2 linked regions of the Ovis aries genome follow. The protein of the gene in region 2 interacts with the protein of the main gene of each other region in a biochemical or structural test. Links are inferred from orthologs where the notes say so. Each region holds a gene or a part of one and is shown on either strand. Other genes may lie near its edges.

Region 1 (4,399 bases), on a different chromosome or scaffold from region 2:
CAGAAAGAGACATAACTTAGCAGAGGTGGGCTGGAAGTAAGGGTGTCAGTTCTGGAAGGGACACTGGGGTCTGAGTTACATGGGTGTGCTCACTTGTTAAAACTCATTAGCTTATATATCTCATTTATTTGTTTTTCTTTCTTATATTTTAATACAACTTACTTCATATAAAAGGTAATATTAAATAATGTTTAGTGATATCCAAAACAAAATTAAGTAATATGGTGTTAGACTGCTTTTCTTTTTAGACTATGTTGATGCTATGGAGATACGTAAATCATTTTAAGGGAATTCAGTAATTCGACTAGGTGGAAATAACTTGAAGAAATAATGATCTGCGCTGATTTCTGCATACGTGTGAGAAAGAAGTTGAAACAGAGATGGCTTCTATTATCTATATTACTTTACCATCCAACGACAGTGCCTCTCTCTCTCTCTCTTTTTTTTTTTATCCCTTTTCTTGGCCCCACGGCACAGCCTGTGGGATCTTAGTGCCCCATTCAAGGGTTAAATCGGGCAGGCAGTGAAAGCTCGGAGTCCTATCCCCGGACCACCGGTGAGTTCCCGCTCGGCCTCCTAAGGCTGGTGAGGCCTTCTCACCTGACATCAGCAGTGAAGAACTCGAAGTAGTCGTGTGCAGGCAGTGGGTGCAGCTGCTGTTCCAGCTGCTCCTTGGTGAGGCTGGGCGGAAGCCGCCGGATGACCACCTGGTGAGAGAGGTCGCTGGTTGGATTCATTAGAACCTCATTCAGTTCAGTTCAGTTCAGCCGCTCAGTTGTGTCCGACTCTTTGCAACCCCATGAATCGCAGCACACCAGGCCTCCCTGTCCATCACCAACTCCCAGAGTTCACTCAGACTCATGTCCATCAAGTCGGTGATGCCATCCAGCCATCTCATCCTCTGTCAGCCCCTTCTCCTCCTGCCCCCAATCCCTCCCAGCATCAGAGTCTTTTCCAATGAGTCAGCTCTTCGCGTGAGGTGGCCAAAGTACTGGAGTTTCAGCTTTAGCATCATTCCTTCCAAAGAAACCCCAGGGCTGATTTCCTTCAGAATGGACTGGTTGGATCTCCTTGCAGTCCAAGGGACTCCCAAGAGTCTTCTCCAACACCACAGTTCAAAAGCATCCATTCTTAGGCGCTCAGCCTTCTTCACAGTCTAACTCTCACATCCATACATGACCACTGGAAAAACCAGAGCCTTGACTAGATGGACCTTAGTTGGCAAAATAATGTCTCTGCTTTTGAATATGCTGTCTAGGTTGGTCATAACTTTCCTTCCAAGGAGTAAGCATCTTTTAATTTCATGGCTGCAATCAACCATCTGCAGTGATTTTGGAGACCAAAAAAAATAAAGTCTGACACTGTTTCCACTGTTTCCCATCTATTTCCCATGAAGTGATGGGACCGGATGCCATGATCTTCGGTTTCTGGATGTTGAGCTTAAAGCCAACTTTTCACTCTCCACTTTCACTTTCATCAACAGGCTTTTTAGCTCTTCACTTTCTGCCATAAGGGTGGTGTCATCTGCATATCTGGGACACCACTTAGCAACTAAACAACAACCCACATCCCAGTCACCCCGTTTCTGCTCGGAATATCCAGCTCGGAGTATTTTAGGATATCATGGTTGTGAGAGGTGGACCGTAAAGAAGGCAGAACACCAAAGAATTGATGCCTTCCAACTGTGGTGCTGGAGAAGACTTCTGAGAAAGCCTTGGCCAACAAGGAGATCAAAGCAGTCAATCTTAAGGGAGATCAAACCCTGACTATTCACTAGAAGGACTGAAGCTGAAGCTCCTGTATTGTGGTCATCTGCTGCGAACACACGACTCATTGGAAAAGTCCCTGATGCTGGGAAAGATTGAGAGCAGGAGAAGAGGGCGTCAGAGGATGAGACAGACGGCTGCACAGCTTCACCGCTGCAATGAACATGAACTTGGGCAAACTCCGGAATATGGTGAGGGACAGGGAGGCCTGCCATGCTGCAGTCCATGCGGCGGCAGAGGCGGGCACGACTGGGCGACTGAACAACAACTTTCCTAAACTGCGTGAAATACGCGCACGGAGAACAAGGCTGTCAAGAGGGTAAGGAGGGCTCGATAGTCTAAAAGGGATCGGTGAGGTCAAAAACGGCTGCGGACAGTAGCACTTCCCCAGGCAATGGTCATTAAAGCCAGACAGCCAGCCGCCCGCACTGCGGCCCACGCGCTCAATACGACGCGGCCGGGCCTCCGCAGGCGGCTCCCCTCGGCGAGGAAAGCTACTACTGTGCGGCACTGGCGGGCCCCAGCGTCCCAGCCTCGCCGGGAAACACCCACAGGCTGAACTGACTTTTCTTCCTCCAGAGTCAGAAAAGTCTGAAAGTCGCTCGGTCTCGTCCGACTCTTTGTGACCCCATGGACTGCGCAGTCCATGGAATTCTCCAGGTCGGAACACTAGAGTGGGGAGCCGTTCCCGGCGCCAGAGGATCTTCCCGACCCAGGGATCGAACCCGGCTCTCCCGCACCGCGGGCGGAACCTCTGCCCGCTGAGCCACCGGGGGGGCCCAAGCGCGCTGCAGCGGGCAGCCAGTCGCTTCCTCGCCGGCCAGACGCCGCTGTCCGCGGTGCTGGAGAGCCAGCGGCCCCGCCCCCGCCCCTCAGGGCAGTCTACTCTCGCGAGGCTTGCCGGCCCCGCACCGCCCCCGCACCGCCCTCACTTTGCTCAGGACCGTCCTCTTTTCCTCGCGAGGTTTGCCTGCGCCGCTCCCACAGCCGGAGGCGGCGGCCAGCGGCGCTTCGGCCTCCCGCCGCGGAGACTCCCGGCGGAACTGACTTTCTGCGGATGATGGTTTCTCCCTCCCGCTCGGACCCCGCGTAGCAACGGCCACACCGGGGCCCCCGGCTCCATCCTCCGAGCGCATCCGTACCCAACGCGGCGCTGCCGCCGCTTCCCGTCAGAGCGGAAACCTCGCGAGATCTGGGCCGCCCCCACCGTTGTGAGGCCGCAAGTCCCCTCCCCCGCCCCGGGCCGCCGGCGCCGGAGACGCGGGCGCGGGAGGGGCGCGCGCCGCCCAGGGGCGGACCCGAGCTGCGCAGGGCGCGCCGTGGGCCTGGAGCCGCGGTTAGCGGGAAATTCGGGGCGCGAGCTTAGCCTCAGTAGGAGCTCTGAGCTGGGCGGGGCGAGGCGAGGCGGAATGTCTCCCGCGGAGAAGAAGCGTCCCAGGAGAATTACACAGGCGCACTTGACAGTGTTCTGTTTCGTGTGCTCAATCGTATCCGACTCTGCCACCCCGTGACTGTTCCCCGCCAGGCTCCTCCATGTGATTTTTTCAGGCAAGAGTACCGGAGCGGGTTTCCATTTCCTACTCCAGGGGATCTTCCCGACCCAGGGATCCAGCCTGCAGTCTGCATTTACAGGTGGATTCTTCACCACTGTGCCACGTGTTGACAGCCTTTTATTCTTTCCCAAGGAAATCTGAACGTTTCGTCAGAGAATAGCAGTTACATTTAAGAAAAAGCAAGGAAATGACAGCAAAAATCAGCACATGGCTTTCCCCTACGAAGTAGGAGGCATGCCCCATGCCCCAGAGTTAAGAGAAGAAATTGGCCGCAAAGTTTCATTTCACCTGCCCTTAGTGTTCAGGTGTCAGTGACTAGAGTAACTCAGACGCTCAGCACTCACAAAACAGGGCCTTAATGTTTCCAATATAATCTTCACTCATTTTTTGAAGCGCTCAATGGGACAGCAACCATGTTTTCCTTTTACAAACATGCAGGCAGAAGTACTTTTGGTTAGAATAATTCACATACAGGTTGATTTTTAAGTGTCATGCCTTTTCATATTTTCATGTTGACTATATTTTTCATTCATAGCACCTTCCGAGTACTTCAAGTACAAACGAGAATGGAGTAACTGAGGCATTAAGAGATGAGGGGAGTCGCTGGCAGCCACTGGGAGTAACTCAGTTTTAACTCGATCCATCTTAACTTTATCCAGGTTTAACTCAATCCAGTCTTTTATCTCTGAACCACTCGCTACCTATGGACAAACTCGAAATGTGTCGTTTTATTTATTTTTGGTCGGGTGGGGCTTTCCTGTGCACAGAGGGTTACCAGCTCCAGGCTTCAGCAGTTGCAGCTCCCTGGCTCTAGAGCACCAGCTTAGTTGCCCCGTGGCCTGTGGGATCTTCCAGGGCCCGGCATCAAACTGGTGCCCCTGCATTCTTAACCACTGCAGCACCAGGGAAGCCCAGAAATGTGTCACTTTAAATGAGCTAAAAAACTGAAAGAAAAAAAAGTTCCAAAACCAAGTTCTCAAAAACCCCAGAAAGGGGGCAAGGAGTCATTTTCATTATTTCATAAAGTCTAAAGGAATCCTATGTGTGTACATGTATGTGCACACATGTACACATGTGTGG
Region 2 (3,813 bases):
AGAGCACTAAGCTCAAGAAGTTTCCAAAATAATTTATGTCAGATAATCTATGCATTGGAAGTATGACTAGATTAAATCATTATAGACTCTGCCCTAAAAGCTTCTGTGAGGCCAATCAAAAACACAAACTGTAGAAAGGATACATTTATATGTATGGCTGAGTCTCTTTGCTGTCCACCTGAAACTATCAAAACACTGTTAATTGGCTATACTCCAACACAAAATATGAAGTTCAATTAAAAAAAAAAAAACCTTAGAAAGTAGCCAAAAAAAAATCAAAGACCATACTTTCAAAATCACCTGCGACATATTAGGTAAAACATATGTGAAAAGGAAAAAGACTGTAAAAATGACTATGTAAATTGTAACTAAGAAAGCTAATATATGTGAAAATTATTAATAGAGGACCACTACTTTCTTTTTTAACCCATTACTGGCTATAGAAGTACATTCTGAAGTTGGCTCTTCAAAGTTTAAAACAGTCCTCGCTATTCAAAAGCACAAAATGAGGATTGTTTTATGAAACATTAAGGAACACCACTGCCATCTTAAATTCTCACCTCTGAGTGAGCTTCAGCCACCACAGATTTATCCATATAGCCTCTGCTCCAATCTTATCTCTTACCTAAGCGAACAACTCACTATTGCAATCTTTTGTGGCTAAGTTAAGTACCTTCTAGAGGTAACTACGTAAACCAGTCCTCCCCAACTACAGGCTTATAAGAGTAAGTGTTCTCCCCACACAGGAACTTTAAAATAGGTGCAGAGTATTCAGCCAAAGGCTAACGCTTGTACCTCCTTTCTGCACACCCTCAGCCCTGCTCCACATACACACCTCCATACTGATCTAATATCCACCAACTACATCAACTTCTAGCCTTTTGATGCCTTCTAGGTGCAGATAATACACAGCAGTCTACAGTATCTTGTAACAATCAAGGGTGGCCTAAATCAGGGATCTTCACCACAGGCACACACATCATTCCTTTAGAATTTTGAATGGATGTCCCCAGGAGAAAAGACTCCTGTAAATGCACTTTATAGTTGCATTTAAAGAATTTTTTCACAGCTACTTTGGTACACTATTTTCCACATTTCTGATCTAAAATATCACTCATGAATGACTTATTCTCTTGAAAAGAGCGAGTATCAATGGTGACGTCAATAAACTAACATACAAAACAAAAGCAAACCTGCTGTAGAAAAGAAACAGTGAAAGACACAAAAAAATAATAACAGATAAGTTAAAGTGATAGAAAAAGAAAACTTATCCCTCAATGTTAAGGAGATTTTTAAATCACAGTAAAAATCCACAATGTAAAAATCATCATATACTTGCCGAATTTCTTTTTTTTAAATCAGAAACAAAATCTATCAAAAACTCACATTTAAACATGAGTATTTAGACTGTTATTACCCTGTGAAATTTTCCTGGAATGTTAAGAAATCACCTGCAATAAGCCCTTTTCCACACGTTCTTTCAGTGGCATGAAGACTTTACATTTTTTAAAGTATGAGCTCCAAAATAAATTCTCAATTCTGAGAAACGTTTGAAAATCACCTGTTTTGTCTCTCAGTATTCTGTAGCTCCCTGTGGTCCCTTTTCAGATGTTTGGTCAAAGACGTAAAGTATTCTTTTAAAAGATTCTGGAAAGGTTGCTGTTTCTCTGGACTAATTATCTCACTAGGAGGAAAACTCAAATTAAACTTCTCTGCAGCACTCTTTACTTTCCTTGGTACAAGTCCAGCAATATCATCTCCACAATGTCGACAAAAACTAATCACCACAGAAACATGAGTATGGGATTCCCGATCAGCATTAATAATATTTTTTAGCTGTTCATAGATTAAGGAAAGACCTTCCTTGTCAGTGAAAATCCCAACTATTGTCAATTCTGCAATGAAACGCAAATCAGTTCTTAACTTGGTAATGTTAGGTGTTTTCTCTTCTTTCCTGGCTTCAAAATGTTTTTTCCAAACCTGAAGAAGTGATGGGGCAAAGTCGGCGTAGCGCTGGTGAAAGAGCGAGCATAAGTGCACAGCACAATTCACGTCAGATATTTTTAGCTTTGCTTCCACAATAGAAGCGACAGCCTCTGCAATGTATTTGCTTAAATTTAGGCCATTAAAATCATGGGACAAGGAGTCTCTCTGTTGTTCTGTAATAGTTTTTAGCTTCTTGACAAAAGCGGTATTTTTCTTCAAACTTGAGTCTAGTCGGCTAAAGAAATTTTCCTCTGGTCGGTTGTCTGGAGCATTTTGGTTTTTGCTACGAAGTTCTTTCCTTAGCTGATGTCGTTCCCAAGCTTCCTGATGAAGCTGAAGGGATTCCTCTTTCTCTCTATATAACAAACAAATAAACAAACAAGTAAGATACCTTGTACATTTTGAAGCGTAACTGATGATTCCCATAAGAGTGAAAGCCAATGAAAAATTAGAAAAGCAACAAAATCCAAGAGGAACAAGAGATGCAAAAGGCCCTTTCACCACTTTAAAGACATCTGATTAATGACAAGATAATGAGAAGTCATTCTACTGATAACACCAAAAGTGGTAGAGTGGAGCATTTTAAATAACTAGATTAAAAACCATTCTGCCAACTGGCACGCTAAATGAATATAACTATTTACTTGTCAATTGTAACTCAATAAAGCTGAAAAAAATAAATGGATAAAACACAGGATTCTTAATACAAAAAAACAAAGTAATATGTTTGGGAAAATATAAAGCCTAAACCAAATAAAAGCACTGGGCAAAAGGGAAAAAATCCACAAAAAAAATAGTTAAAGAACAAAATTAGAAAATACATTAAAATGCTTTGAGTTAGGTGCCACTTTTCCATACTTCAGCATTAAATAAACCTTTCTTAATAAAAGTACCTTTCTTAATAAAAGTTTAGGCCTTAAAATTCAAGTATAATTAAAAGCTCATTTAGGAACCAGAAAAACTATAGGATAAAAGCACTTTATATAAAAGGTTAGCAGACTCAAGTTTATCCTGAGAAGATTTAAAATCAAATCTAGTTATGTTTCTACTAGAAAGATGGGACATGTTTAAACTGCAGAAGTAGTAAAATAACCCAGGCAGGAGTAGGAGATTGAGGACAATCTGAGGTTTCTAAGACACCAAAATATGTAACTTTAAAATATAAATTTCTAATAAAACAGATTTTCATCTTTCTAAGATAACCAACCCTGAGTTACTCTATAATTCTACGATTTTTCCACTAATAGCTACAATATGCTAACAAAGAGTTACATCTATCTCTGAGAACAGGGATATGAATCTCGTAGAAGCCTCCCAGCCACACAAAAACAAGATCAGCAGTGAAAGTACTCGTTAAGAGAGTATAACTCATTACTTCCATGCATTCAACAACTCAATGATCATCTTTATTAAAAATACTTTGATATATATATAATGAATATATACACACACACAATGAAAATATTTATACTTACCTATCTATATATTTACAGGTGAAATAATGTGATGCTTTAGAATACTCAAGAAAAAAAAAGTAATTGCAGATGCTGGGTAGATGGGAAGGGATACTAATTTATTCCATTCTATCTTTTACATGCTTTAATTTTTCCAAATAAAAAGTTCGCATTTTGGTTACCATTGTTTTTTTAAGCTCTTTGTATCGGAAGGGTGAGAGAACAAAAGTTACAGTGAAATGAAATATCCTTCCAAATTATTTTACGTAAAATAGAAAATAAGCAAGAAATTCTCAAGAATCATAGTTCTGAATATTCTAAAACTATTGCTATTGCTTTTCAGACCTAAGACTCCAGTTCCTCATTAAAAACA

The links.
Region 1: the proteins of UPF2 (region 2) and UPF3A form a complex in vitro, tested with the Homo sapiens proteins (2 studies listed by IntAct, with this or other methods). The link is inferred for Ovis aries from reciprocal best matches to the Homo sapiens genes UPF2 and UPF3A.

Annotation. Positions count from the first base shown.
Region 1 is NC_056063.1:86,395,390-86,399,788, reverse strand, and holds the start of UPF3A (regulator of nonsense transcripts 3A), read right to left. Parts: upstream 2,961-4,399; 5' UTR 2,903-2,960; coding exon 2,699-2,902; intron 708-2,698; coding exon 601-707; intron 1-600. UniProt on the Homo sapiens protein: Involved in nonsense-mediated decay (NMD) of mRNAs containing premature stop codons by associating with the nuclear exon junction complex (EJC) and serving as link between the EJC core and NMD machinery.
Region 2 is NC_056066.1:16,039,278-16,043,090, forward strand, and holds part of UPF2 (regulator of nonsense transcripts 2), read right to left. Parts: intron 2,342-3,813; coding exon 1,562-2,341; intron 1-1,561. UniProt on the Homo sapiens protein: Involved in nonsense-mediated decay (NMD) of mRNAs containing premature stop codons by associating with the nuclear exon junction complex (EJC).